Callithrix jacchus: one gene and its partners. The protein of the gene in region 1 interacts with the protein of each later gene in a pairwise test. Links are inferred from orthologs where the notes say so. Each region holds a gene or a part of one and is shown in the gene's direction. Other genes may lie near its edges. The genes, in order: UBQLN1, TXNDC12, RTL8C, TMUB2, SRGN, MIEF2 and FZD7.

Evidence for each region.
Region 2: the proteins of UBQLN1 (region 1) and TXNDC12 interact in binary tests that used the Homo sapiens proteins (3 or more experiments, as listed by UniProt). The two-hybrid records come from large-scale screens. The link is inferred for Callithrix jacchus from reciprocal best matches to the Homo sapiens genes UBQLN1 and TXNDC12.
Region 3: the proteins of UBQLN1 (region 1) and RTL8C interact in binary tests that used the Homo sapiens proteins (3 or more experiments, as listed by UniProt). The link is inferred for Callithrix jacchus from reciprocal best matches to the Homo sapiens genes UBQLN1 and RTL8C.
Region 4: the proteins of UBQLN1 (region 1) and TMUB2 interact in binary tests that used the Homo sapiens proteins (3 or more experiments, as listed by UniProt). The link is inferred for Callithrix jacchus from reciprocal best matches to the Homo sapiens genes UBQLN1 and TMUB2.
Region 5: the proteins of UBQLN1 (region 1) and SRGN interact in binary tests that used the Homo sapiens proteins (3 or more experiments, as listed by UniProt). The two-hybrid records come from large-scale screens. The link is inferred for Callithrix jacchus from reciprocal best matches to the Homo sapiens genes UBQLN1 and SRGN.
Region 6: the proteins of UBQLN1 (region 1) and MIEF2 interact in binary tests that used the Homo sapiens proteins (3 or more experiments, as listed by UniProt). The two-hybrid records come from large-scale screens. The link is inferred for Callithrix jacchus from reciprocal best matches to the Homo sapiens genes UBQLN1 and MIEF2.
Region 7: the proteins of UBQLN1 (region 1) and FZD7 interact in binary tests that used the Homo sapiens proteins (3 or more experiments, as listed by UniProt). The two-hybrid records come from large-scale screens. The link is inferred for Callithrix jacchus from reciprocal best matches to the Homo sapiens genes UBQLN1 and FZD7.

Annotation. Positions count from the first base shown.
Region 1 is NC_133502.1:99,350,801-99,354,300, forward strand, and holds part of UBQLN1 (ubiquilin-1), read left to right. Parts: intron 1-665; coding exon 666-781; intron 782-1,721; coding exon 1,722-1,890; intron 1,891-3,500. UniProt on the Homo sapiens protein: Plays an important role in the regulation of different protein degradation mechanisms and pathways including ubiquitin-proteasome system (UPS), autophagy and endoplasmic reticulum-associated protein degradation (ERAD) pathway.
Region 2 is NC_133508.1:89,039,428-89,043,413, reverse strand, and holds the start of TXNDC12 (thioredoxin domain-containing protein 12), read left to right. Parts: upstream 1-1,186; 5' UTR 1,187-1,294; coding exon 1,295-1,391; intron 1,392-3,986. UniProt on the Homo sapiens protein: Protein-disulfide reductase of the endoplasmic reticulum that promotes disulfide bond formation in client proteins through its thiol-disulfide oxidase activity.
Region 3 is NC_133524.1:130,606,550-130,609,586, forward strand, and holds RTL8C (retrotransposon Gag-like protein 8C), read left to right. Parts: upstream 1-1,361; 5' UTR 1,362-1,390; coding exon 1,391-1,732; 3' UTR 1,733-2,537; downstream 2,538-3,037.
Region 4 is NC_133506.1:71,038,648-71,042,722, forward strand, and holds the start of TMUB2 (transmembrane and ubiquitin-like domain-containing protein 2), read left to right. Parts: upstream 1-1,275; 5' UTR 1,276-1,815; coding exon 1,816-1,820; intron 1,821-1,983; exon of another isoform or gene 1,984-2,078; intron 2,079-2,904; exon of another isoform or gene 2,905-2,990; coding exon 2,991-3,557; intron 3,558-4,075.
Region 5 is NC_133513.1:61,004,690-61,008,944, reverse strand, and holds the start of SRGN (serglycin), read left to right. Parts: upstream 1-1,455; 5' UTR 1,456-1,510; coding exon 1,511-1,589; intron 1,590-4,255. UniProt on the Homo sapiens protein: Plays a role in formation of mast cell secretory granules and mediates storage of various compounds in secretory vesicles. Required for storage of some proteases in both connective tissue and mucosal mast cells and for storage of granzyme B in T-lymphocytes.
Region 6 is NC_133506.1:82,691,929-82,696,203, forward strand, and holds the start of MIEF2 (mitochondrial dynamics protein MID49), read left to right. Parts: upstream 1-1,475; 5' UTR 1,476-1,650; coding exon 1,651-1,664; intron 1,665-2,679; coding exon 2,680-2,833; intron 2,834-3,046; coding exon 3,047-3,209; intron 3,210-3,676; coding exon 3,677-4,275. UniProt on the Homo sapiens protein: Mitochondrial outer membrane protein involved in the regulation of mitochondrial organization.
Region 7 is NC_133507.1:123,203,729-123,207,799, forward strand, and holds the start of FZD7 (frizzled-7), read left to right. Parts: upstream 1-1,271; 5' UTR 1,272-2,002; coding exon 2,003-3,727; 3' UTR 3,728-4,071. UniProt on the Homo sapiens protein: Receptor for Wnt proteins.

The DNA of each region.
Region 1 (3,500 bases):
TGGCCATGGTATTTTATTATTTAAAACGATAAAAGAGAAGTCAGTCTTGGTGTTTTGAAACTGGTAGTTCTGGGGCTTTATATATTTTGTAGTGACTCTCAGGCTTGTAAACCATTTTCCAAGGTTAGTTGGTATCCTTGATCTATTGTAATGATGTAAGCCTATCTTTGGTTAGTCAGGTGGTGTATATTTGGAAGTAGTAAAGCTAAATTCAGGATACATGTATTGTCAAATTTGGAACTGTTGTTTTAGAGTGTACCTTACTGGTAAAATTGTTAAATTAGTAACAGGTAACACTTGGTTAGGTGGAATATGTGGCTTTCACCATATTACCATGTTGTAAGAATTGTGTATTTGGAGGTTGTCTTTTAGAAATAATACTTTATCTTCTATTGGAGAAGGGGAATAGTTGTGGCTTCCAGAGTAGCTTTTGATTGTCTTCCATTATGAAAATGGCTTTCATGATGGACTTAGGAGGAGGTCAAGTAAAGATTTTCATACTAGGTTTGCTGTCAAAGAGGAGATACTTGTGTTTATTTGGGGACAGAAATACCAATGTCTAGGAGTAAGGTTTTAGATTTTCTCCGGAAGCATAACAAAGATTGTAAAACTTACTTTCACTGATTTTAATTCCTTTGTAACCACTAGTTTTTTTTCTTTCTTAGATGCAGAATCCTGATACACTATCAGCAATGTCAAACCCTAGAGCAATGCAGGCCTTGTTACAGATTCAGCAGGGTTTACAGACTTTAGCAACGGAAGCCCCGGGCCTTATTCCAGGGTAGGCTTATTTGGGGAAGATAATTAAGGTGCATAATGGTTACTTTCTCTGAGAATTTCAGTGTTAGTATTATGCTGCCTGCCTTGTGTTTTTTTTTTTGTTGTTGTTGTTTTTTGAGACAGGGTGTTGCCCAGTCACCTAGGCTGTGAGTGTGATAGTGCAGTTGTGGCTCACTGCAGCCTCAACTTCCCAGGCTCTAGGGATTCTCTCACCCAGCCTCCCTCCAGGTGCACATCACCACACCCAGCTCACACACACACACACACACACACACACACACACGTTTTTAGAGACAAGGTTTTGTTGCCCAGGCTGGTCTCAAACCAGGAGCCATGGCTTCCCAAGGTGGGATTACAGGCATGAGCCACGGCATCTGGCTTTTTTAAAATTATTATTATAGAGATGGGCTTTTGCTCTTTTACCCTGGCTGAACTTGAACTTCTAGGCTCAGGCGATCCTCTCACCTTAGCCTCCCCAGTAGCTGGGACACAGTGCCAAGCTATGATTGTTTTTAAGTCAGGGTTTTTAAAGTTAAAAACGATTATTATATTTTAAATTCGTAAGATAGAGCCTTACTCTGTTGCCCAGACTGGAGTGCAGTGTCACAGTCTCAGCTTACTTCAGCCTCCCCCTCCTGGATGCAAGCCTACCTCATACCTCATCCTGCCAAATAACTGATACTACAGGTGTGCACCACCACACCCAGCTAATTTTGTTTCTATTTTTTGAAGAGATGAGGTCTCACTGTGTTACCTGAGCTGATCTCACGTTGCTGGGCTGCTGGGATCATTGGTCTTCCAAAATGAGCCACTGCACCAGGCCGAGAAGGCTTATTTTAAAAAGATAACTTAGCTTATATTATATTAAAATGTAACTGATTTACTGACTGGGCTTTGGTTTTGCAAGACCTTAGGTTATTTCCTATTTGTTCTTTCTCTAGGTTTACTCCTGGCTTGGGAGCATTAGGAGGCACTGGAAGCTCTTCAGGAACCAATGGCTCTAATGCTGCACCTAGTGAAAACACAAGCCCCACAGCAGGAACCACTGAACCTGGACATCAGCAGTTTATTCAACAGATGCTACAGGCTCTTGCTGGAGTAAATCCTCAGGTATCAGCTCTTTTCCCTTCAAGTTTTATATTCCTTAATGTTAGAAATTTAGAAATTTCCAAAAAGAAGGAAAAGGGAAAAAAGGAAAGCAGTAGTTCTTAGGTGTTTAGATTAATGAACAATACAGTCTTAAGGGTATTGAATAAGAAACAAGCATTACAAAAATTGTTGACTTTGGTGCTATGTAAGACACTAAAGGAAACATTGTTATGGCTGTAGGAAAGACAGGCTGCAACCTAAAGTCTTAATTTTTAGGAATTTCCTTTAAAAATGCCTTTTCTGTATGTGGAGTTCCTATTTGAAAATCATTTGAAATAGGTTTTGCTTTAAAAAAGTTCTTGGGGAGGAATGGAAACTTGATCATGCCAAGTACCTCCAGGAAAACTGTATTCTAGTCTTTTGACTGGAAAAAAGTCCTAACTACCTTACCCCACCCATCAAACCACCTCCTTCAGTAGGTTGTGTTGCATATATATGTCTTGCAAATATGGCTAAAGAATATGGACTCCTAATAATGTGTTTGCATCTACAAACATTTATTGGCTTTACTAATAATGTGCCATTATATAAAGATGATTGCCAGTTCAAACCTATTTTATTAGGTTGTCCCCAAATTTCTTAATGTTTAAAGGTCTGTTAGGTGCTTTCTGTTCTTTTTTCTTTTCTTTCCTTTCCCCTTTCCCTTTCCCCTTTCCCCTTTCTCTTTCCCCTTTCCCTTTTCCCTTTCCCCTTTTCCCCTTACCTTGTCCCCTTCCCCTTCCCCTTCCCCTTTCCTCTTTTCCCTCCCCTTTCCCCTTTCTCCATCCTCTTCCCCCTTCCCTTTTCCCTTTCCCCTTTCCTTTCGTTGCCTTTCCTTCTTCCTTTTTTTTCTTTCCCTTTCCCTTTTGACAGAGTCTAAGGCTGGGTGCAATCACAGCTCACAGCAACCTCCATGTCCTGGGCTCCTGCAGTCCTCCCACTTTTGTATTTTTTGTAGAGATGGGGTTTCGCCATGTTGCCCAGGTTGGTCTCAAACTCCTGAGCTCAAGCGATCCCACCTGCCCTGGCCTCTCAAAGTGCTGGGATTACAGACATGAGCCACTGTGCCTGGCCTGCTTTCTGTTTTCAAGGCTTAATATAATAAACAGGGTGGGGTCTGTTTCATGCTTGTTTGTATTCCTGATACCTAGCATACCCTAGTTTCTGGCTCATGGTAGGTACTCAGTAAATATTCATAGAATAAATAAGAAAACAGGATTTGGGGTATTAGAATCAATTGTTGTATAAGTTAACTTACAAGCCTCCAAATCAGTAGGACTGCTAGGACTGATTGGTCATTTATGTGGGTTTTTTTTTTTTTTTTAACTTCATTTCTGAAGAAAAAAGATATGATGCTGCTGAATTGTCAGAATTAAGAGTGTAATTTTGGGCCTGAAACTGAAGCTCTTTTCTAAGAATTGGCCAGTGCAGAAGTTAAACTCACATTCATTCGAACAATCATTGAAGCTTTAGAATTTTATGCATGAGGATATTGGCTTCTGTAGTTACTCAATTGGTCAGTAGCTACGCATATCATCTAATTCTGAACTATTTGTATATATACTTTAAAGTTTTTCTGCATGTACGTGATA
Region 2 (3,986 bases), on another chromosome or scaffold:
TCACCTGAAGCAGGGAGGGTCCTCCAACAGCAGCACGCGGCAAGAGCAAGATGGCTGCCTCAGCAGAGACAGAGAAAGACCAAGGCGGCGGCGGCGGCGGCTGGAGCGGGTCCACGTGACAAAGTCGGTCCCGCCTCTCCCTCTCCGGGGCAGCCTATCCTGGGAGCGCACATCTGAACTGCAAAGGCCGGCCTGCTCTGCGAATGCCTCTACTGCTAGTGGCGGCAGGTGCAAGTGCCCGCGCGGCATCCTGGGGCTTGCAGTCTCCCTAGCGTTCCATTGTGTCCCTGCCTACAATTTTAGGGAACCTAACATAAAGGTGGTCGGTATGTTTCTCTTTGGGTGTATACTTTAGTTAGGTTGTTTTTTGGCTATGCATTAAGTACGCACTTTAGGACTCAACTAGTACCAGGAAGAAAGACCGGACATATTCACCTGTTATACAGCGGAGGGGAAAAATTGGGAAGAAATCCTCAAGCTACAAGAAAAATAACCAGAAGCTTTACCCTTTAAAAGCCTGCAGTGACTTCTGTCCTGGTGTGCTAAGTCCACCTAAGTCAGTTTTGCAATAAGAGGCCCTAAGTTTGGTTTTCTCGGAGCTTTTATCAGTTGGTTGCATCATCCCTGAGTAGATTTGCGGTTGCAAGGAAAAATAAGGTACAGAGCTTCTCCAGCGGGAAAGGGTATGCCTGCACGGCACGAGCCCACGCACCGCCGAGGAGGGTTGCAAAGTCTCCTCGGAGACCTGGGCAGGATCCTAACAATGAAATCCAGTTGTCCAGTCTTTATTTGTGGAGAGGGAAGGAGAATCCGAGGCCATTGGGCAAACCGCCCACTGTTGGGAGAGACTGACCTCACCAATCAATAATTTGCGTTTGACTAGGAAGTGCAGCGGTTCTTGGGGGGGAGGGGCTGGACTGGGTGGCGGAAGCAAGCGGCAACGGTTCTCCCGAACCTCTCTCCCGCATTCTTGGCCCACATTTTCCCGCTCCGTCCCAGGACTTGGACACCCAGAATCTAGGAAAAGTAACTTGCGATCGAGAACAGCTCTCGCACTCATCTACGTGATCTGCACCTTTAAACTCACTCTGTGCCGAACGGGACCCCGGAGGCACCACCCACATCCGTCTAACATCACTTCCTTCAGAGTTTGAAAAAAAAAAAAAAAAAAAAAAAAAAAAAATCTGGGAAGGCTACGGGTTGTGCTGACCGGCTCTCGGCTGGCGGTGTGGACCTTCTGCCGGGACTGCGGCCCTGCGTCCGCTCAGCCCGGTGGCTCCGCGCACCTACTGCCATGGAGACACGGCCTCGTCTCGGGGCCACCTGTTTGCTGGGCTTCAGTTTCCTGCTCTTCGTCATCTCTTCTGATGGACATAATGGGCTTGGAAAGGGTCAGACCGCGTTCTTATCTTACTCTTTACTGATCCTGGGCCACAGCGCACTATAACCTCTTCTTGCCCTAACACGTTCCCCTCACGTTCTATCTCTCAGGCCACGCCAGATTTCTTTTTATCTTCCCCAACCACTCCTGGAGTTTGAAGATTTCTTGGCTACCCCAGAAAGAGTAGCGGGTCTGGGCAATGGAGAAGCTGTACTTGAGGCCTCGCTAAATTCTTGGGTTGGGGGAAGGAATGGTCCGTAAATTAAGAAAAGCATGTTTAAGAGCCCAGCATAGTGCCTAGTACTTGGGAAGTCCTGAGGAACGGTCACTTCTCACCTGGAAGAAATAGAGCCGTTGGGGACCTGCGTATGCAGAGAACCCTGTCCTGGGTCTGAAGATTCCGCTCCTTACCTCTTCCGTGAAGACCTGGGTTACTGCCACTTCCTTGCCTTTGGAAGACAGCACCTGCATCCCAGGTAGCCATATCTAGTGCATAAGAAGGGCCAGGTGAAGGGTAGAAGGTGCTCTTTTAAGAGTTCCCGACAATTGTCCTTGCTGTGGTTCAGCGAGTGTGTCTTAAGACATTGAGTTTTCTGTGAATGAGCGATCAGTGGTTAGGTGTGGCCCCTACTCCATTCATTACCTACATCTCCATTCTATGTTTTAACACCTTTCTCCTCATCAGCCCTTACTTAGTTGAATGTTGGATTGACAGTCTGTGAACTCAGGGTTTATGCTTTTCTAAGTAGATGAATTGTAGCATGGATCCCAACCCCTCTTCCATTTTTTTTTCCACTGACCTTACTGTATGGAATGATTCTGCTGCAACCCTGCCGTTTTTGTTTTCTCTTTTTTTTTTTTTGAGACGGAGTTTCGCTCTTGTTACCCAGGCTGGAGTGCAATGGCGCGATCTCGGCTCACTGCAACCTCCTCCTCCTGGGTTCAGGCAATTCTCCTGCCTCAGCCTCCTGAGTAGCTGGGATTACAGGCACGTGCCACCATGCCCAGCTAATTTTCTGTATTTTTAGTAGAGACGGGGTTTAACCATGTTGACCAGGATGGTCTCAATCTCTTGACCTCGTGATCCACCCGCCTCGGCCTCCCAAAGTGCTGGGATTACAGGCGTGAGCCACCGCGCCCGGCCTGTTTTCTCTTATTATTTCACATCTATTGGTTGGTAGTAAGATTGGGTGGGCATTCATTTTGCCTAAATGCAGCCATTCCTTCATTCCAAAAATAATTTTGATCACCTTCTGTATTTTCTGTATTTCAGGCACTGTCCTAGGCATTGGGGATATAGCTGTAAACAGGACAGACAAGGTTCCTACTCTCGTGGAGCTTATTATATTCAAGTCAGAGAGACAGAGTGGACTCATTAACAAATTAATAAACAAGACAGTTTCAGCTAGGAATAAGTGCTGGGAAAACAACAAGACTGTGATAGGAAGTAGGAAGGCTGGGGAGGTTGGGGAAGCTGGCACATCACTTGAGTTATGAAGATCAGGGACAGCTTTTTGGAGAAGGTGATATGTGGGTTTCCATCTCAGTGATGAAACTGCATGACAAATTCTATTAGGCCAGAATGTTTTCAATACTGAGAATCCCATTTTAAAACAGATTATTGTATATTTAAAGTAAAATTGTAAGTACTGAGGGTAACAAGAGTATAGTGTTAGGAACATGGGTTTAGATCTGCGCTTTTTCTTAGGCTTTGTTTGTTTTTGTTTTGAGATGGAGTCTTGCTCTGCTGCCCAGGCTGGTGTGCAGTGGTGCGATCTCGGCTCACTGCAACCAACTCCGGGTTCAAGTGATTCTCCTGCCTCAGCCTCCCAAGTAGCTGGGACTACAGGGGTGCAGCACTACACCCAGCTAATTTTTTTTTTTTTGTATTTTTAGTTGAAATGGAGTTTCACCATGTTGGCCAGGCTGTTCTTGAACTCTGGACCTCAGGTGATCCTCCCTCCTTGGCCTCCCAAAGTGTTGGGATTATAGGCATGAGCCACTGTGTCTGGCCTAGATCTGAGTTTTAATTTGTTCTGCCACTCACCAGCTAAGTAGCCTTGGGCAAGTTTCTTAACTCTCAAAACCTCAGTTCCTCATCTGCAAAATGGGCATCATAACTACCTCAGACACTCAACAAATAATTTACTCTGTTCCAGTTACTGTGATAGGTATAGGTAATAACTTGAAGTCAGGTATTTTGTATCTTTATTACTTGTTAGATATTAAGCTTTGTGTGGTTGTTCTGGTTACCATTGTTGTATAATAAATCACCCCAAAATTTAGTAGGCATGAAGAAATCATTTTATTATGCTCACAATTCTGTGAGTAAGGAATTCAAACAAGGTACATTGGGGAAGGCTTGTCCCTGTTCTGTGATGTCTGGGGCCTCAGCTAAGCTGGTAACCTCTCCATGTGATCTTTCTGCATGAGCTGCTATGGGTTTCCTCACAGTAGCCTTATGGAAGGCTGGATTCCAAGAGTGAGTGCCATAGAGAACAATGTGGAAATGCATGAAATTTTTGTCATCTAGCCTTACAAAGCACATAGCATCACTTCCACTGTACTCTGTAGGGGCAGATTTAAGGGAATGGGACATGGAGGT
Region 3 (3,037 bases), on another chromosome or scaffold:
CTCTAGGAATTTACTCTAGAAAAATGAAAACCTGGGCTCACACAAAAATCTGTACATAAATGTTTATAGCTGATTCTTCTGTAATTTCCAAAACCTGTAAATGTTCCAAATATCCTCCAACAAATGAACGGATCACCAAATTTGTATATCCATGCTGTGGCAGACAGATTCTAAGGTGGCCCCCAGAATCCCAATGTCCTGGTCATATCTTTTGGTGCAGGTTGTGACTATGGCTTGCTTCTAACCAATAGAATGTGGCAAAGGTGATGAGATATAACTCCCATGATTATGTTAGTTTATACATGATTCCAACTTTCAAGGAGACACTTTCTCCCTTTGTTCCATGAAGAAGCAAGCTGAAGTGTTGTGAACTGCCTATGCACAGCACAATGTGGCAGAGAATAGAGGGCAGATTTTATAACAAATTAAGGTATTTCTTAATATTTAACCCTCCTTACATTAACTGCTTGTGGATTTATTATTCTTTTTAGAAAATTATTTATAATTTTTGTGGGTACATAATAGGTATATGTATTTATGGGGTACATGAAATGCTTTAATACAGGCACGCAATGCATAATAATCACATCATGGTAAATGGGGCATCTATCCCCTCATGCATTTATCCTTTGTTCTACAAACAATCCAATTATACTCTTAGTTATTTTAAAATGTAAAACTAAATTATTTTGACTGTAGTCATCCTTTTGCGCTATCAAATACTAGATATTAATAATGACATAATGGAGAATGGGGTATCCATCCCCTCAAGCGTGGTGCATTCCTCTTTGAATATGCTGCTTTAGATTATATTTGCTAATATGTGGGGCTTCTCTATTATAATAATGTCGCAAAGTAGGGAGCCAATAATCTGGTTGAGAGACGCAAGAAGCAGCAGGAAAATGTGCTCACAGAATCTCATACTAGTGGCGTCCAGGGCCAAGGGTCCCTGAAAGCATACCCAAAGGCTGATGAGAGGTGGGGACGAGTGCAGCGGCAGGACTCCTCAACTACCAGAACTAGGTGGGGCTCCTAACAGCTTCTCGGAGCCAGCTCCCCGCGCCCGGTACACCACCAAGTTTCCCTGGTTCTTCCCCTGCTCCCGGTCCGGCCAACTTAGGAAACCTCCGCCCATCAAGTCCGATACGACCCCGCTTCCTTGATGGCTTTAGGCCCCTCTTCGCCAGTGTTTGCCCCACGACGCGCCTGCGCACTAGGGACCACTCGGCCTTGTGGGCGGAGTCCATGAGAGGACTGGAGCTCCGCTTGTGGCCCCGCCCACTCTAGCTTGGGCCGGCCTTAGTGGACACGCATTTCCGGCGACGCCTCGGCACTGACCTCTGCAGAGCCGGGTGGAGCCCATTGACGTCCAGCGAAGCGAAGAGCAGCGATGGACGGTCGGGTGCAGCTGATAAAGGCCCTCCTGGCCTTGCCGATCCGGCCTGCGACGCGTCGCTGGAGGAATCCGATTCCCTTTCCCGAGACGTTTGACGGCGATACCGACCGGCTCCCGGAGTTCATCGTGCAGACGGGCTCCTACATGTTCGTGGACGAGAACACGTTCTCCAGCGATGCCCTGAAGGTGACGTTCCTCATCACCCGCCTCACGGGGCCCGCTCTGCAGTGGGTGATCCCCTACATCAAGAAGGAGAGCCCCCTCCTCAATGATTACCGGGGCTTCCTGGCCGAGATGAAGCGGGTCTTTGGATGGGAGGAGGACGAGGACTTCTAGGCCTGGAGACCCTCGGGCCTGGGGGCGGGTGCTCTGGAGAGGGTCCGCTGTGCCAATGGCCGCCGCCAGGGTCGCCACCGGTGCCCTCCCTCCTCGCCTCCCTCCCTCTCGAGCCGCCGCGATGTCCCCTGCGCTCCTGTCCCCTCCCGCGTAGTGCTTGCCTTTGTTCCAGGAATAGCGCTCCAGGCTCCTGCCGCCGCCCCTGGGCCTCACTTTGGAGCGAGCTGCCGCCGCCCTCTTCTTCCATCCGGCCAGCCCCACCCATGCATATTTGGACGCTGTCCTGCTCTCCAGCTGCAAGCTGGGCTCCTGTTACACACTGGATTAGACCACCCACAGCCGCCGCTGCCAACCCTCCTCCACCCCACGAGACTGCCAGACGACTACATCATTCTGCCCACAGACCTGCGCTGCCACTGCCATCGCCATCCACCGCATCCCAGTGATCTGGACTCACCTCGGAGGTATCTGAGCTGGCCACAGCCCCTGGACAGTGATCCAGACCGCTGGCTGCACCCCAAGGGATCTGTCACCTTCAGCGAGACCTATTTCCTCCCCACTCCCAAAGACCTCTTGTGTTCCTGCCTAGGCCCAGGTGTGCCTGGCAGCCAAATCGAGTCTCTAATTTTCTCTTGTGGACCAGTTAGTTTTGACCATAACCCAGTTTTCTGAGTTTGCAGCTGTCTCTCTGATGTGTGCCTTTTGTTCAACACAGTAACCCCTGCATTCTGCTCTGCTCTAATACACTACCTGGAGAAAGTCTTTTCCTTATTTTCAATAAATGTCAGACATTATTGAAAAGAAATGGTCTCAATGAATATGGCACTTTTCCCTCCCTGGTTCTGTAAATGGGGTCCATATCTTGTTCAAAAGCTATATTCCCTGCTATGCTTATGGCTGATGTTGACACAGAGTCCTGTGGTGTCCTGCAAATGGAGATCCCACCGGTGACCAATCCCAGACGATTAATGTTGTAAACAAGTCAGTTTTGTGCCCCTTAGGAAATGAACCTTAATCTGAATTTGGCCAAAATAAGGTAAGGAATAGTCAGATAGGGTGCTTTTTCTTCCTTTGTTTCCAAAAAACTGACTGAAAGCATATACTCCAAGTGGTTACAAGCCATACACCTCACACAATTGTTGGTGAATACCTCTCATAGTTTTATTTAACCCATTATCAAGGAACTAGCAGAATGGCTTAGATTCTTAAGAAAGAGCATTTACATTTATATTGCTTTAATTGGGTAGGTAGTAGAGAAAGGAATGCAGAACTGTAATGTTAATTTAGGTACAAACTTGTTTAATG
Region 4 (4,075 bases), on another chromosome or scaffold:
GGCAATTCTCCTGCCTCAGCCTCCTGAGTAGCTGGGATTACAGGCACGCGCCACCATGCCCAGCTAATTTTTTGTATTTTTAGTAGAGGCGGGGTTTCACCATGTTGACCAGAATGGTCTCGATCTCTTGACTTCGTGATCTGCCCACCTCGGCCTCCCAAAGTGCTGGGATTACAGGCGTGAGCCACCGCGCCCGGCTCCGTCTGCATTATTTAACCTTCAATCAGTAGTTCTCCAAAACCCCCAAACTCCAGCACTTTTTTTTTTTGAGAGAAGCCCTCGCTGTCGGGTGGAATGCAGTGGCTGAGATCATAGCTCACTGCAGCCTCGAACTCCTGAGCTTAACTGATTCTCCTGCCTCTGTGTCCCAAAGCGCTAAGATTACAGGAGTAAGGCACCCAGCCTGGCCCCAGTACGTTTTTAGAAAAAAATTTAATTGCAAAAATCTAGATAAGTTCTTGAAAGCTGGACTTTTCCCCCTTTTTGTGCCCTAAGCCTGCGCTGAATTTGTGCCTTTGAAATGCTTTCTCCCCTTCTTTCTCCAGGTCCCACACTAGCTGGGGCCGCACTCTTCAAGCACTGGATGCCGACTAACTCGTCTCCTCATCTGCCTTCCCGACTGGCCCAGAGCTGAGTTCTTACTAATCCCGCTAACCTGGAGTTCGGTGCGCGTTGCAAAGCAGTAACGAATTCAACCAGCCCCGGAGGCAGACAGCAAAGCCGGAAGAACAAAGCTGAAAGGGAAACGCCGTACCGCCTCTACCCAGCAGCGCCAGCGGAGGAAGCTTTCCGCAGACGCAAAGCCACGCCCCTTCCCAAGCACCTCCCCGCTGGCCCCCCCTCAATCTAGACTGCCTAAGGCCCCGCCCACAAGGCGTGGCCCAGCTCCAGGAGGGCCGCAATCCCGCCAACAATGACTCCACCCCTGCTTCCGCTGAGAAACCTGTCCCTTTTATTTAAAGAATACCTTTTACGTCAGCCCGCCTTCCGTATCTTTGCGTCATCAGTGCAAGGCGCGGAGGCGGGACTTCCTGTCCCTGGTTCTAACAGCTTCCGGGAAAAGCCGGAAGCGACCGGACCCTGAACAGAATCGCGGGTTGCCAGCCCTTTCCCCGAACCCTACGGAAAGACGAGTCCAGGGGCCGTCCTGGCGAGGTCAAAACATTTAGTCTGGGCTTTTCAGGTGAGAGCTTCCCCATCTAGGCACAGTGCTGGTCCAATCCACCTTTAATTTCCCATGACTCCCCGCGTCCTCAAGCCCCGCCCCCAGTTCCCAGCCCCGCCCCGAAGTTTGAGGGGTGTGGACGGTTTGTGACCCCCTTATCCGACGCTACCCCTCACCGGCAGGGAGAGCTGGGCTTGGCACGGCGGCTGGGACCAGGCAGCCCTTCAGTTCGGGTGGGCTTATGGACCCCAGTCCAACGCCGCTGGAATAGGACCATCCAAACGCGGAACTTTCGCCTCAGAAAAAGCAGGGTGCGGGACCCCTCCTCACCGCGCGGTCTGAGTACGGTCAGGGTAGATCATAGGCTGAGGACAGAGTAAAGTCCTCTGAGGCCGGACACCTGGGGTCCTGCCGGGCCCCTCCCCACGAGAGTTTCCTGTGTCTGTGCCAGTCGTTTTCATCGTTCTTCGCCGCAGTTTCCTCTTCTGTAAATCATGGTTAATGACAATTAACCTTCTTACCATCAGGGGTTAGTTGTGGGTGTGATAAATAATTGCTACCATTTATTGAGCAATTGCAATTTGCAATGTGCCAGGCACTGTGCTAAGTATTTTGCTTCGTTGATTTCACGTCATCTTCAAAACAACCTCATGAGGTAGGTACTATTTTTAACCCCATTTTACTGATGAGAAAGCTGAGGCTCTGAGAAAGTTGTCCGAGTTGACATAGCTAGTAGAACGCAAGACTGGGGTTATAATTAGTTGTTTTTCTAACTCCAGGGCCGGTATATTAAATAAGGATGTTGATGTGTTCCACAGATACTCAGTAACTACTGGGGCATTATATTGGACACTTCAGTACCAAGAGAAATACATACGATCCTTGTCTACCAGGAGTCTAAGAGAAAGGACAGGTAGATAAGTTTAATGAAGTTTTATAGGTGCTGTGAGAATAGTCTGATAATGGATTTGCCCAGGGACAGCTGTGAAAGCAGCAGATTCTCCAAGGGAAATAGTAGGTACTCCAAGCAGCAAGCAGGGATGCTTCCTGTCTTGCTAAGAAACTGCAGCAGCAGAGGCTTCACGGTGAAAGAAGAGAGACTGAGATGTGGATTGCGAGAGCCGTTGGGGAATCTTTTTCAAATCACTTCCACTTGGGGAGTGGTTATTGCAGGAGTGGGCCCATGGTGACCCAGGAGGGTGGTGTTTTGGTGTCTGTCCCACGTTGCTCTCCAGGGGTTGCCAGAAGCTTCAGAGGCGGCACATCATGTCTGCTGCATAGTGTCTGTTCACAGCCCCTACAGAGTTATCCCATTGAGGTTGTCTGACTCTGCTTTTGATGATAGGTCAGTTTTCTTTGGCTCTTGACATCTGGGCAGCCTGGATCTGTGACCAGGAATGAAATAGGCTCAAATGAGACAATCTAGTAGGGGTGGCTCATTCTCAATCTGAAAATATTCCAGGCTTTTGGATCTCTCTGAAGCCACTTTGGAGGCTGCTTAGGAGGCATATTTGCTTGACCAAGTGCTAGAAATCCTAGAGAAACTTAAGCCTCAAAGAAGCAAAGGTTTTTCTCATCAAAAAAAAAAAAAAAGTGTGAGAGAGGAAGATCACAGAACCTGAAAGCAAGAGTTTCACAATAGAGGCAAAGGGTAGGTCTTCAGCTCTAGGTTGAGGCGCCAGAATTGGGAAGGTTTGTACCCGATTCTACAGAACACTGAACTCCATTTTTTTTTTCAGGGCTGGGTCAGTTAGAACCTAAACAAACTAGAGACCTGGTTGCAACCCTCAGGCTCTGCTGATGCTATCCCCCTTTGTTCCTGCAGCGTGGACCCTGTCAGCAGCCAGGCCATGGAGCTCTCTGATGTCACCCTCATTGAGGGCGTGGGTAATGAGGTGATGGTGGTGGCAGGTGTGGTGGTGCTGATTCTAGCCTTGGTCCTAGCTTGGCTCTCTACCTACGTAGCAGACAGCGGTAGCAACCAGCTACTGGGCGCTATTGTGTCAGCAGGCGACACGTCTGTCCTCCACCTGGGGCATGTGGACCACCTGGTGGCAGGCCAAGGCAACCCTGAGCCAACTGAACTCCCCCATCCATCAGAGGGTAATGACGAGAAGGCTGAAGAGGCTGGCGAAGGTGGGGGAGACTCCACAGGGGAAGCTGGAGCTGGGGGTGGTATTGAGCCCAGCCTTGAGCATCTCCTTGACATCCAAGGCCTGCCCAAAAGACAAGCAGGTGCAGACAGCAGCAGTCCAGAGGCCCCCCTGAGGTCTGAGGATAGGACCTGCCTCCCTCCCAGCCCCGGCCTCATCACTGTGCGGCTCAAATTCCTCAATGATACCGAGGAGCTGGCTGTGGCTAAGCCAGAGGATACTGTGGGTGCCCTGAAGAGGTGAGTGGCCTGGGAAGTGGGAGGCTGCTTGTGCCCATCCCCCAGCCCTTGGTTGCCTCTAAGGAGGCTGGTGCAGACATTGGAGCAGCAGGAAAGTATAAGATCAAGCCCTCCTAAGGGCAGGTAGATACTTTCTTAGAAATACACTCTTCAGGCCAGGTGCGGGGGCTCATGCCTGTAATCCCAGCCTTTTGGGAGGCCGAGGCGGGTGGATCACCTGAGGTTGGGAGTTTGAGACCAGCCTCATCAACATGGAGAAACCCCATCTCTACTAAAAATACAAAATGAGCCAGGCTCGGTGGCGTATGTCTGTAATCCCAGCTACTTGGAAGGCTGAGGCAGGAGAATTGCTTGAATCCGGGAAGCGTTGTGTGAGCCTTTGCACTTTAACCTGGGTGACAAGAGTGAAACTCTGTCTCAAAAAAAGAAATACACCCTTCATTAGTTAAGGATAAAGATGAGGGGGGAAAAATCCACCCTCCAATTTTTCCCCACTCCCTTGCTTTGTTATTTCAGGC
Region 5 (4,255 bases), on another chromosome or scaffold:
ATTGTGAGGCTCTGTCCTTGGCAGGAAATGGTAAAGGAATCAGCAGGAAGCCTAAAACAAGGGAAAGGAAACTCCTCCCTCCTATCAAAGGCCAGGCAAGGGCGAGGATGAAAATGGAAAATGGGGCACGTGCATTAAGCTGTCTGGGGGAGTGGTAGGGATAGACATGTTGAAATGGAGAGTGGTTGAATCTTGTAAGGAAGTAAGGAAAATTTATACGTCTCAAGGGCAAGGATGGACGATAGGCTGGTATTTATTGTATAACTTTAATGTGGAGCCTTAGTCCTCCAGAAATGTGCACCATGCCCGGGGAAAATGCTGTTCCTTCATTTACTACATGAGGCAGAGGTTTGGGTTGTTTTCTGAGGTCCAGTAGCTCACTGTGACAACAACCTCTCCCTCGTTCCTGATTTCTAGCTTATTCAAGGCCAGATGACCCAAAACTCAAGTTGAAAATTTTGACTAGGAGAATAGATAAGAGTAGAAATGGAGTCTAATCATAAGAAATGCTCAATGTGAAGGAGAGAGAAATGCAAAGAATTTTTTGTTGTCGTTGTTATTGTTATTTGTTTGTATGTTTGTTTTTTGGAAACCGAGTCTGGCTTTGTTGCTCAGGCTGGAGTGCAGTGGTGCGATCTTGGCTCACTGCAACCTCCACCTCCCAGGTTCAAATAAAACTCTTTCCTCAGCCTCTCGAGTAGCTGGGACTACAGGCACAGGCCACCACACCATATTGCCCAGGCTGGTCTGGAACTCCTGAGCTCAGGCAATCCACCTGCCTTGGCCTCCCAAAGTGCTGGGATTACAGGTATAAGGCACTGCGCCCAGCTGAATTTTTCTATTTTACCATGGTCTTTGTAACTGAAAATTCTATGTTCTTGAGGTAGAGAGAGAGAGCCAATGATCCAATGCAATAAACTGAGTTTAAGAAGAAACTGTTCATCTGAAAACCGACAACTCATTCTTGAAGGTTAGAGCTCAGCTTTGAAGTTTCAGTTCACGAGCTTGGCTCAGTGAGGTATGCTACTCCCTGGTGAGAAAGAAAATGAAGACAACACTTTATGTTGAAAGTGCTCAGTGACGAAAAGGCAGCACCTAGGTCCCTTATCTCATCAGAAATGCAGCAGATTCTTAATATTAGCAATTTCATGTTTAGATTGTTACCTGAAGAAAGGAAAAACAAACTATCACGAATGCTGATTCTGCTGTTTCGGTGGGAAAAAAATGTCTAACAGGCAAGTGGCAAACAACAAAACTTCTGAAGAAGCAGGCCTGGGGGCAGTCCAGTGTAGTTTCATAATGGTATGAATAGTTATTTTACCGTGTTTTTTTCCCCCTTTCTTTCTGGGTTTTGATGTGAATCTCTTCCTATTTGTTCAGGAAATTATGACGTGTGTTCTGGGCAGGGTTTGAGGTTTTGGAACCTTTTCTAAAAGGGACAGAGAGCACCCTGCTACATTTCCTAATCAAGAAGTTGGTGTGCAGCCGGGAAAGCTGAACGGAGTTGGTCATGATGCAGAAGCTATTCAAATGCAGTCGGCTCGTCCTGGCTCTTGCCCTCATCCTGGTTCTGGAATCCTCAGTTCAAGGTAAGACTCAGGAGTCTTGTTCCCCAGCCATCTTCTCTGTAAGCCCCCAAGACCATACAAGTCATTATATTCACTTTAAGGCACAGAATGTATAATATTGTAGGATAGGAGGCAAAGAAGAAGGATTTGGGGTGGCTGAACCCTTTAATATGAATTCAGTTAAGTTTGGTACCAAGAAAAATTAAACTTTGAGGCACGCACAGTCTTGTAAACTCTTACAATGATTGAAATGTGCTAATTTATTTTGGGACGAAAGTATGAGGTTTATAAATTTTGAAAGCTCAAAAAAGGAATCTAGAAAGTGACTTCTGTGCCCGTTGCATGGAGGAGATGGGACCTTTGAGTGTTTGCGGGTTTCTGCCTAACCCTAGGTGTCTACATCAGCCCCAAGTTTTAGTGCACTGTGATGGTGTCATTGTTATTTTAACACTGGGAGATATTATATTTCAATTGGGGTGAATTTGACTGTGTGTATTTTTTTCTTTTTTTTAAAGATAAACTTGGTTCTTACTGAAAACTCAATTATGATTAGACATAGTTAATGCAAACCCTCTCAGATTTTAAAGAGAAGGCCACAGAATGTGGTATTTGGGCTGTTGCTCAGAGAAACATCATATTCGGAAATATCTTCCTAGGTTTATCTATTGTTTAGTGCTGTTTAGTCAGACTGAGACAACTTAAAACCTCTAATGACTAAGACGATAACAATGATCAGTTTGTAAGAAAAATACAATTTGCTCTCCTTTGATAAATAACGAATCATGTCGAAATAAGAAAGAAGTCACGGCCTGATAGAGAGATGGCAGAACTGAGAGCAGAAAAACACTAGGTTCCCCCAGATGGTAAGGGAAATGTTGAGTCACAATGACACACACGTCCTAGATTTGTTTCGTCAAACTGACTTTTCGGTTGTCACGATGTAGAGATGAAATCTTACAGATGATCGCAGAGACATTCATTTTATGTTGGAAATTTATAAAATCTCATTTTCTTCTAAATGTTAATACTGAAAAAACAGCAAGTAATTTTGCCGGAGCTTTATTAATCCATGTATTTTTTAAATGTAAAACATAGTCAGTTGTAGGGAACAGACTTCACTTGGACCGTTTAGGGAATACGTTCAGCTTGATGAAATAATTCCCTAAGAACCATGTGGTCTGACAAGATCAAGAGCAATGAGGTCCATACTTTAATACAGTCTTGAGTGGCTCGGTGGTGCTGGGCATGCCGCAGCCAGAGATACGTACGTCTGTATGTTTCCAAAATTTCCCAGAAACATGAATTTCCTGCTAAGATTGATTAAGGAAAACTAGAATGAAAACAACAACGTTCCTTGTACAGTGTTCATTAGAAAGAAATGAAGAAAAAAATAATTCATCATGAAATTGGATAGAACGCTACCATTTACGTCATGACCTCATAGGTTTAGCTGTTAGAAAAGGAAACCATAGAAAGAGACAAGGGAGAAACTGACAAACATGGTTCTGAAAAAAGGCTCTTGGTATCGGCTCAAGGGCTTGTGCCCACATCTGAGTGCGCAGGGAAATAGATGTTTCCCCATGGCTGCATGTGTGAGTGACTGCCGCACGAGGCTGCGATGTGAAGGGTCGTGACACCCTTTCCTCACACCTCCACACGATGCCAGATATGATTCAAAAACATTCTTCCCATCTTATAAAAGGTGTTTATCTAGCCCCTTGGTTTGGCTGATCAAATCAACTAGGCTTTTGGCTGGCTTATACTGAACATTTTCAAAACCATTTCAGATTACTGTAGTAGTTTGCTCGGGCTGCCATAACAAAGTGCCTCAGACTGGGTGGCTTAAACAACAGAATTTTTTTTTCTCCCAGTTCTGGAGTTGGGAGTCCAAGATCAAGGTGCTGGCAGGGTTGGTCGCATTCTGAGGCCTCTGTCCTTGGCTTATAGATGGCTTTCCCTCCACGCATGTGTCTTAATACCGTCTTCTCATAGGTCACCAGTCATTGGATCAGGGCCACCCTAATGACCTCATCTTAACTAACTACATCTGCAATGACCCTATTTCCAAATAATTTCACACTGTGGGATTCTGTGGGTTATAACTTCAACATACAAATTTGGTGGTGGTATATTTTTACTATAAGTCACACCCAAATAAAGACATGGGGTAAAATTGTGCCTACCCAGCACAAAGAAATGGCAATTTGGGGATGTGTGGGTAACCCTGGAGAGCACAGATGACTAATCTATTTAATGGAGAGCTCCAGGGGATTTGATAAGGCTTGTGAATCTTACACGCTTATTGTTTCTCTTTTCCAATGACTCCCATAAAGAGAAAAAATGGGGGCCATGAGTGGTGGCTCATGCCTGTAATCCAAGCACTTTGGAGGCCAAGGCGGGTGGATCACCTAAGGTCGGGAGTTCAAGACCAGCCTGACCAACATGCTGAAACCTCATCTTAAAAAAAAAAAAAAGAGAGATAGAGAGAAAATGTGATATCCTTGAACAGGTGTGGCCAAGGGGGCCAGGTCCTCCGTGTGTCCCCTGCCCACTGTCTCCTAGCTCACAGGAATGATATCAATCCATTCATTGTGTTGCTGTTTGCAAAGTGATTTCACATCTATACTCTGATAATCATCATCACATTCCCTGTGAGGGGGAATTAGCACCAGAAAACTAGATCTGAC
Region 6 (4,275 bases), on another chromosome or scaffold:
GCAGGGGCTTACCCTGGCTGACACATAGCAGGCCCCTAAAACATGAGCCACAGCTGTTATATGACTAGCCACCATTCGCAGGGGAGGAGGGGGTCTGGTGTCCCCATTTTACAGGAGAAAAACTGAGGCCCATGTGGAGAACGGCCCACACAAGGTCGCACGGAACAGGTGGCAGGGGTAGGCGCTTTCACCACACTGTGTGCCCCGCAGGCCCACAGGTTAAGAATGAAGCCACCAAGACACACTCGCAGAGGTGATCTAAGAGGTTAGATGTGCCTCGGCCCCCGGAAGTAAAGGGGGCCCAGACAGCTTCCTTCACACTCGGCGCTCACATTACAACGCACAGGCGTCTAAGAAGGCTGCCTGTCACAATACCCGGTCGCGGGCTCCGAATGCAGCCCTGCACCTTTAAATCCAGACTGCGTCAGAGAGTCCCGCCCCGAGGGAGCGTGTCAGTTGGCTGGGGGGCGGGGCATACCCTTCATTGGCTGAGCCGCGCAGTATTTTGGAACACGTGTGCTGGATTTCGCGCTCCGATTGGAGGCAGGGTCTGCTTGTCTGCGTCCTGCGGCTTCCGCGGCCGCCCCCGGGTCCCTCAACGTTGGGTTCCAGGTTCCTTCTCGTTCCATTCCCAGAAAGGTCCGAGCTTAGGGGCCGTGGTCCTGCTGCCTCCTCCGGTCATTGTGCGGACGCTGCGACGCAGGTACGGCTGGAAGGCGGCGGGGCGGCCCCCAGAGTCAACGGGCCCGGGGCTTGGTGCGCTACGGAACGCAAATCGGGGGCGTGGCCCGCCGTCGCCGCTGGGTAAGGCCGGGAGGGTTTGGGAACCAAGGCCCGCGTTCGAATCCCAGCCCGGCCCCCTTCCCCTCTTGGTCTCTCGGTTTCCCTGCGAACAGGGCGTCACCCGCTCACCTAGGGCTGCTGCGCGGCCCGCTCAGCCCAGGCCCAGGGCAGGCAGATTTGACGGAGGAGGAGGAAGGCCAGAGGGCCTCCAGGGCACCGGTGCGCAAACTCGGGTTATTTTCAGCCACCGGTGCCCTCTCCCGCTTCTAGGACCTGGAAGGCTGTGGGCTGAGGCCTGTGCGACCCCGCAAGCGGTGGGTCTGAGTCCCAATTTAGACAGGTTGGGAATATTTAAAGCGCTTTACAGTTTGCAAAGTAGATTCCTGGTCTCTCTGGGGTCGGGTGGCAGTATTGATCCCCGTGTCACGAATGAGGAGGCTGAAACCGGCCCTGGGGCCGTAGCGGGTCACCCGTTTGGCCTGGGATCGCCCCAGAGAACGTCTTATTTTTAGTCTGGGGCGAATGGGCGGGTGTCCGGGGCTGAGTCACACAGCACTTCAGGCTTCAGCTACTGCAGGCATCTGGTCACCTGGCAACTGAGCCCCTGGCACCCACACTCTGGCAGGGCAGGTAGAAGTCCTTGGTGCCCGGGCAGGCTGTGACCTCATGGTCATCTGCTCAGGCCTCTCTGGGAGAGTTCTGCATGTCGTCTGATGTCCTAAGGTCACAGCGCCGCTCAGCTCCCAGGAACTGAGGGCAGTGTCCGGCTCGCAGAACGTGAGGCTGGGGGTTGGTGGACTGGGCCGCAGGAGATCTTTGCCTCCACCTCCCAAGTGCAGGGCCCCACCCAACCACACACTGCTGCCCATGCCATCTTACAGGTGAGCAAACAGGCTGGGACCCAGGCCCTCACCTTACCTTCTCTGTTGCTTGGCCTCCTAGCAGCTGAGAAGCATCACCCACCGCCACCAAGACTGAGAGGCCCAAAGAGCCCACTGTACAGAGGTCCTGGGCAGCCCTTTTTCTGGGTCTTGATCTTTTAGGTCACCTTGCTTGTTGCCCTGCCGGAGGGGCCTCGGCCCTTGACTTGCATGTCTTCATTGGCCTGCCTGGGCAGCTTGGGCCATCTCACTCTGCCTGTGCTCTGACTTGGTAGTTCTGCCTCTTGGGGCTACCCTGTCAAGATTTGGGGGGTAACTGGTCCCAGAGGTCCCCCAGACTGGTGGGGGCCCCAAATATTGTTGGTCTTCTCTGGACTTTGGGGTCTTCTCAAGAGGTTATCATAGAGAGCTGCTGTGTCCTCTGGTTAGGAACCTTAAGATGAGGCTGCTGCTAAGGACCTGGCCACCTGGCACAGAGGATCCGTCAGACTCTGGGGGCGGATGAGAGTCTGAAGGCCTTGTAGTTGTGGGCTGGAGACCTTATCACTCACTGTGCAATCTGGCAGCCTGGAGCTCTTTAAAATACAGGTGGTGGTGATAAGACCCACCTTGCGGGTTTCTGGTGATGTCAGCGGTCCTAGAGGATAGGCCCCTTCATTGGCACAAGCCTCAGGGCCTTTGTGAGCTTCTTTCCAGGGGGTGGGTTGTTTGCAGCTTTGAGAGAAAGGGCTTGGCAGCTCCCTCATCTCATGAGAGATGGGGACTTGGGGCCCCAAAATCCATATTCCTATCCCAGCCCTGCCCTTTCTCAGGTAATTTACATGGTTCCCAGGACCTTGGTGTCCTCCCCTGTGGATGGGTCCCTTTCTCATGAGAAATTCTCAGAAAGCCCCCCTTATGGGCTCCGCTCTGTTACCCAGCATAAGGACAGCCAGAGCACCTATCCACAGCAGCCCCTCTACCAGCCTGGCCACCTGCACCCTGAGCTGTCCCTTCACCCCTGGCTCTCTTACAGGCAGACCATGGCAGAGTTCTCCCAGAAACGGGGGAAGCGGCGTGGCGATGAGGGGCTGGGCAGCGTGGTGGACTTCCTCCTGGCCAATGCCCGTCTGGTGCTGGGCGTGGGCGGGGCTGCTGTGCTGGGCATTGCCACCCTGGCCGTGAAGCGGGTAAGGCCAGGCTGGTCAGGTCATGCCTGAAGCTCCTAGAGGAGGACAGGGTTGGGCCTTGCAGAGGGGCCCTGGGGAGGGGTGGGGACTGCCCAAGGCCTTCATGGGAGACCAGGTCACCTGCTTCTCCACCCCAGCACCCTGGTCTGCTTTTCCCCTGGGCTTTGCTGTAGCTGCCCAGACTTCATCTACTCTGTATGACTCTGCCTGCAGTTCATTGACAGGGCCACTAGCCCACGGGACGAGGATGACACCAAGGGAGACAGCTGGAAGGAACTGAGCCTGCTCAAGGCCACGCCACACCTGCAGCCCCGGCCTCCACCGGCTGCCCTCAGCCAGCCCATGTTGCCCTTGATCCCCTCGCCTTCTGCCCCAGGTGAGTGGCACTCCTTCCCCTCTCACGTTGGTGGATACCCTTTTGTTGTCACATTTGAGAGATGAAGCCCAGGCTCTCCCCTGACTGACCCTGTGCAAGTCCCTGCTTCTCTCTGGGTTGTGAGCTCCTCAGACATTTAATGGGGGTGGTTTTTCTTTGCCCTGCTCCTGTAGCAAGGTGGCAGCGTTGTGATGGTGGAGAGCTTTAGATGGGGAAACTGAGGCCCAGAGGGGCATGACCTGTCTACTTCCTCTGCATGAAGCTATTTTAGCCATAGGGCCAGGGTGTTGGACTCTGGGGCAATGAGAACTCGTCACCAAGCACTCACTATAGCGAGGACCTGGACTGAGTGCCTTCCCAGGTGAGGACAGTGAGGCCCGGGGATATCACACAGCTAGTCGTTGGGTAGTGTTTTCTTAATTAATCACAGGCTGTTCCAGCATGTTCCTCGCCCCTTCACTCTGCAGAGGAGCCTGCAGAAACTGATCTTCAGGTGACACTACAGCTCAGCTCCCCAACACCGCTGTGTCTGACACTGCAGGAGAGGCTGCTGGCCTTCGAGCGGGACCGTGTGACCATCCCAGCAGCCCAGGTGGCTTTGGCCAAACAGCTGGCTGGCAACATTGCCCTGGAGCTGCAGGCCTACTTTCGGAGCAAGTTTCCAGAACTGCCCTTTGGGGCACTTGTGCCTGGGGGGCCACTCTACGATGGGCTGCAGGCAGGGGCTGCTGACCATGTGCGTCTCCTGGTGCCACTGGTACTGGAGCCAGGCCTGTGGAGCCTGGTGCCGGGCGTGGACACTGTGGCGAGGGACCCTCGCTGCTGGGCCGTGCGCAGGACTCAGCTGGAGTTCTGCCCCAGAGGGAGCAGCCCCTGGGACCGCTTCCTGGTGGGGGGCTACCTCTCCTCCCGCATCCTGCTGGAGCTGCTGCACAAGGCGCTGGCTGCCTCCGTCAACTGGCCGGCCATCGGCAGCCTGCTTGGGTGCCTGATCCTACCCAACGTGGCCTCGGAGGAGCTGCTGCTAGAGGTGCAGCACGAGCGCCTGGAGCTCACTGTGGCCGTG
Region 7 (4,071 bases), on another chromosome or scaffold:
CATTTTCCTGCATGGGAATTCCTGATATTCCTGGTAGCCCAGAGAGGGGAGAGGCCCCCTGGTGACTTCTGACCTCTCCAGGAGTAACCAGAGAGCGCGCGTGAGCGCCCAGCCCCTGGCGCAAGACGAAGATTTAACCGAGAACAAAAGAACGTTTGCCAATCAGAAAACCCTACCCGAGAACAAGGATGACCCCGCTTTGTGTTTTGAAAACTCTTTAATTAGCCAATTCCCTGGTTTCTAAGATGCATTTAAACATTTCTGCGCAGATTCTAAATGGAGGATCAAATGGTTCCTTCTGCAATGAAGATGGGATCCCTAAAGGCCACATGCCGCAGAACCAAGGCACACGGGGCCACCGAAGACGCGCGTCGCGTCGTACAGTGTTCCTGGGCACTCAGTCTCAGGTTACTTCTAGAACCAGTCCCCCCACCGCCGTCTTCGTTTCCTTAAAACCTCGCTACGGCCACCCCAGCTCCCCAGACTCCAGGCCGTGCGCGCAGGCTGGGTGGCCTGAGCCCGCGCCTCGCGCCCCCCCCCCCCGCGCGCGCTCTGGGCCCTTCCTCCGAGGGGTCGGCCCTTCCTCTCGTCATTCGGCCCCCTCCGCCCGACTCGGGTTTCTCCTTGGAGGTGGCCCCTCCTCCTTTTAACAACTCGGGGGAGGGGATCGGGGACTGTGGCTTCGCGTGGACTGTTTGGGTCCGGGGGTAGAGAAGCGATCGGCAAGGCGCACCCCCTTCTCGCCCCGTCCCAAACCCCACAGAAGGACCCAACGACCCGAAAGCCGAGCCAGAGCCAGCTTTGCAGCCCTAACGCTACTCGGGGTCACGTCTCTCCCCGCAGGGGCGCTGCGTGGTCCTCGCTCCCGCAAACGCCGCTGGCGAAGGCTCCTTTGCTCAGGAATGCGCATCTGAGTGCACCAGGAAGAGGAACGAATCTTTGAAGCAAATTCCCTTTCTGTGCGTTTTCCCCCCTGAGAGAATTCAGGGTAAAAGTTTTTCCTAACTTTTCCCTCCCAGTCCCCCGCCCCTCCCCTCAGGAATCCGCCCTGAGCGCCGCGGCACCGCCTTCGCCGCTCCCTGCCCGCCCCTTCCGACTTCCGCCCAATCCGAAGGCGGCTGCCGAAAAAACAAAGGCCGCCATTGGGCCGCCGGGGCCTGGGGCCGCCCCCGGAGTGGTTTGTGAATGGGGGGAGGGGAGGGGAGGGGGCGGGCCGGCCCGGAACCCTGCGAGCCCGACGCTTCTTCTGGCGACCAGCGCGACTCCGAGGCGTTAGTCGGCGCTCCCTCCTGGCGGGCGGCGGCGGCGGACGCCTGGACTCGCGGCTGGGGCTGCGCGGGGCTGGAGGGGCCGGGGCCAGGTCGCGGGCACTGGCGCCGCGCGGCTTTGGACGCAGTGTGACTGGATTTCCAAAAAGAACTCGCCGCGCTCCCGGCTTCGGAGCCGAGATCGGACTCAGCGAGAGCCGGCCGTTTGGCTGAAACTTGGGGCCGAGCTTTTGGGGCTGAAGAAGGAGCGGGGTGTGGAGGAGGAGGCGAAGGAGGCGGCGGCGAGCGGAGCCTCGAGGCCAGGAGGCGGAGCAGCACCGGAGAGGCGGCGGCCGGGGCGAGCAGGCGGCGACGCCGGGGATTCTCCAGGCGGGGGCCGGGCCGGGCGCGGGGGGCGTGCGCGCTGCTGTGCGCTGGGGGTCCAGAGACTTGGGCAAACTTTGAAGGGTCCCGGGAGCCGCTTGTTGCTCCTCGGCGCCCCCAACCCAGGCTGACGAGTTTTGGGCCCCTGGCGGCCCTGCGACTGCCGGGCGGAGGCGGTGGAGGCGCCCCCGCGGCGCGGGCATCTCGGCGGCAGCGCCCTCTGCTCCCCGCCGCCCACGGCCGGGCCCAGGCGCCTGGAGGGTTCTCATGATCCGGGCGCGGCGACGCCTCCCCGCACCCGCATCCAAGCCTCTCCCAACCGCCTCGTCGCACTCCTCGGGCTGAGAGCACCGCTGCACCCGCGGCCGGCGATGCGGGGCCCCGGCGCAGCCGCCTCGCGCTCTCCCCTGGGCCTTTGCGCCCTGGTGCTGACGCTGCTGGGCGCGCTGTCCGCGGGCGCCGGGGCGCAGCCGTACCACGGAGAGAAGGGCATCTCCGTGCCGGACCACGGCTTCTGCCAGCCCATCTCCATCCCGCTGTGCACGGACATCGCCTACAACCAGACCATCCTGCCCAACTTGCTGGGCCACACGAACCAAGAGGACGCGGGCCTCGAGGTGCACCAGTTCTACCCGCTAGTGAAAGTGCAGTGCTCTCCCGAACTGCGCTTCTTCCTGTGCTCCATGTACGCGCCCGTGTGCACCGTGCTCGATCAGGCTATCCCGCCGTGCCGTTCCCTGTGCGAGCGCGCCCGCCAGGGCTGCGAGGCGCTCATGAACAAGTTCGGCTTCCAGTGGCCCGAGCGGCTGCGCTGCGAGAACTTCCCAGTGCACGGCGCGGGCGAGATCTGCGTGGGCCAGAACACGTCGGATGGCTCCGGGGGCCCAGGCGGCGGCCCCACTGCCTACCCTACTGCACCATACCTGCCGGACCTGCCCTATACCGCGCTGCCCCCGGGGGCCGCAGATGGCAGGGGGCGTCCCGCCTTCCCCTTCTCATGCCCCCGCCAGCTCAAAGTGCCCCCCTACCTGGGCTACCGCTTCCTGGGTGAGCGCGACTGCGGCGCCCCGTGCGAACCCGGCCGTGCCAACGGCCTGATGTACTTTAAGGAGGAGGAAAGGCGCTTCGCCCGCCTCTGGGTGGGCGTGTGGTCGGTGCTGTGCTGCGCCTCGACGCTCTTTACTGTTCTCACCTACCTGGTGGACATGCGGCGCTTCAGCTACCCAGAGCGGCCCATCATCTTCCTGTCGGGCTGCTACTTCATGGTAGCCGTGGCGCACGTGGCCGGCTTCCTTCTGGAGGACCGCGCCGTGTGCGTGGAGCGCTTCTCGGATGATGGCTACCGCACGGTGGCGCAGGGCACCAAGAAGGAGGGCTGCACCATCCTCTTCATGGTGCTCTACTTCTTTGGCATGGCCAGCTCCATCTGGTGGGTCATTCTGTCGCTCACTTGGTTCCTGGCGGCCGGCATGAAATGGGGCCACGAGGCTATCGAGGCCAACTCGCAGTACTTCCACCTGGCCGCGTGGGCCGTGCCCGCCGTCAAGACCATCACTATCCTGGCCATGGGCCAGGTGGATGGGGACCTGCTCAGCGGGGTGTGCTACGTTGGCCTGTCCAGTGTGGACGCGCTGCGAGGCTTTGTGCTGGCGCCTCTGTTCGTCTACCTCTTCATCGGCACGTCCTTCCTGCTGGCGGGCTTCGTGTCTCTCTTCCGTATCCGCACCATTATGAAACACGACGGCACCAAGACGGAGAAGCTGGAGAAGCTCATGGTGCGCATCGGAGTCTTCAGCGTGCTCTACACTGTGCCCGCCACCATCGTGCTGGCCTGCTACTTCTACGAGCAGGCCTTCCGCGAGCACTGGGAGCGCACCTGGCTCCTGCAGACATGCAAGAGCTACGCTGTGCCCTGCCCGCCCGGCCATTTCCCACCCATGAGCCCCGACTTCACCGTCTTTATGATCAAGTACCTGATGACCATGATCGTGGGCATCACCACTGGCTTCTGGATCTGGTCGGGCAAGACTCTGCAGTCGTGGCGCCGCTTCTACCACAGACTCAGCCACAGCAGCAAGGGGGAGACTGCGGTATGAGCCCCGGCTCCTCCCCACCTTTCCCATCCCCTACCCTCTTGCTAGAGGAGAGGCACAGTAGGGAAAGACCTGTTGGGTGGGGGCCTGTTTCTGTAACCTTCTCCCCCTCTACTGAGAAGTGACCTGGAAGTGAGAAGTTGTTTGCAGATTTGGGGTGAGGGGTGACTTGGAAAAGGAGACCTGGATGGAAATCGGTTTGGATGAAAGGACTTCAGGCAAAGACTTACAGGAAGATGATGATGATAACAACGATGTGAATCGTGAAAGGTACGGGCCAGCTTGGGCCTAAGAGAAGGCTGAGACCAGCAGAGACTGCTGTGAGTTTCTCCTGGCTCCGGGGCTGA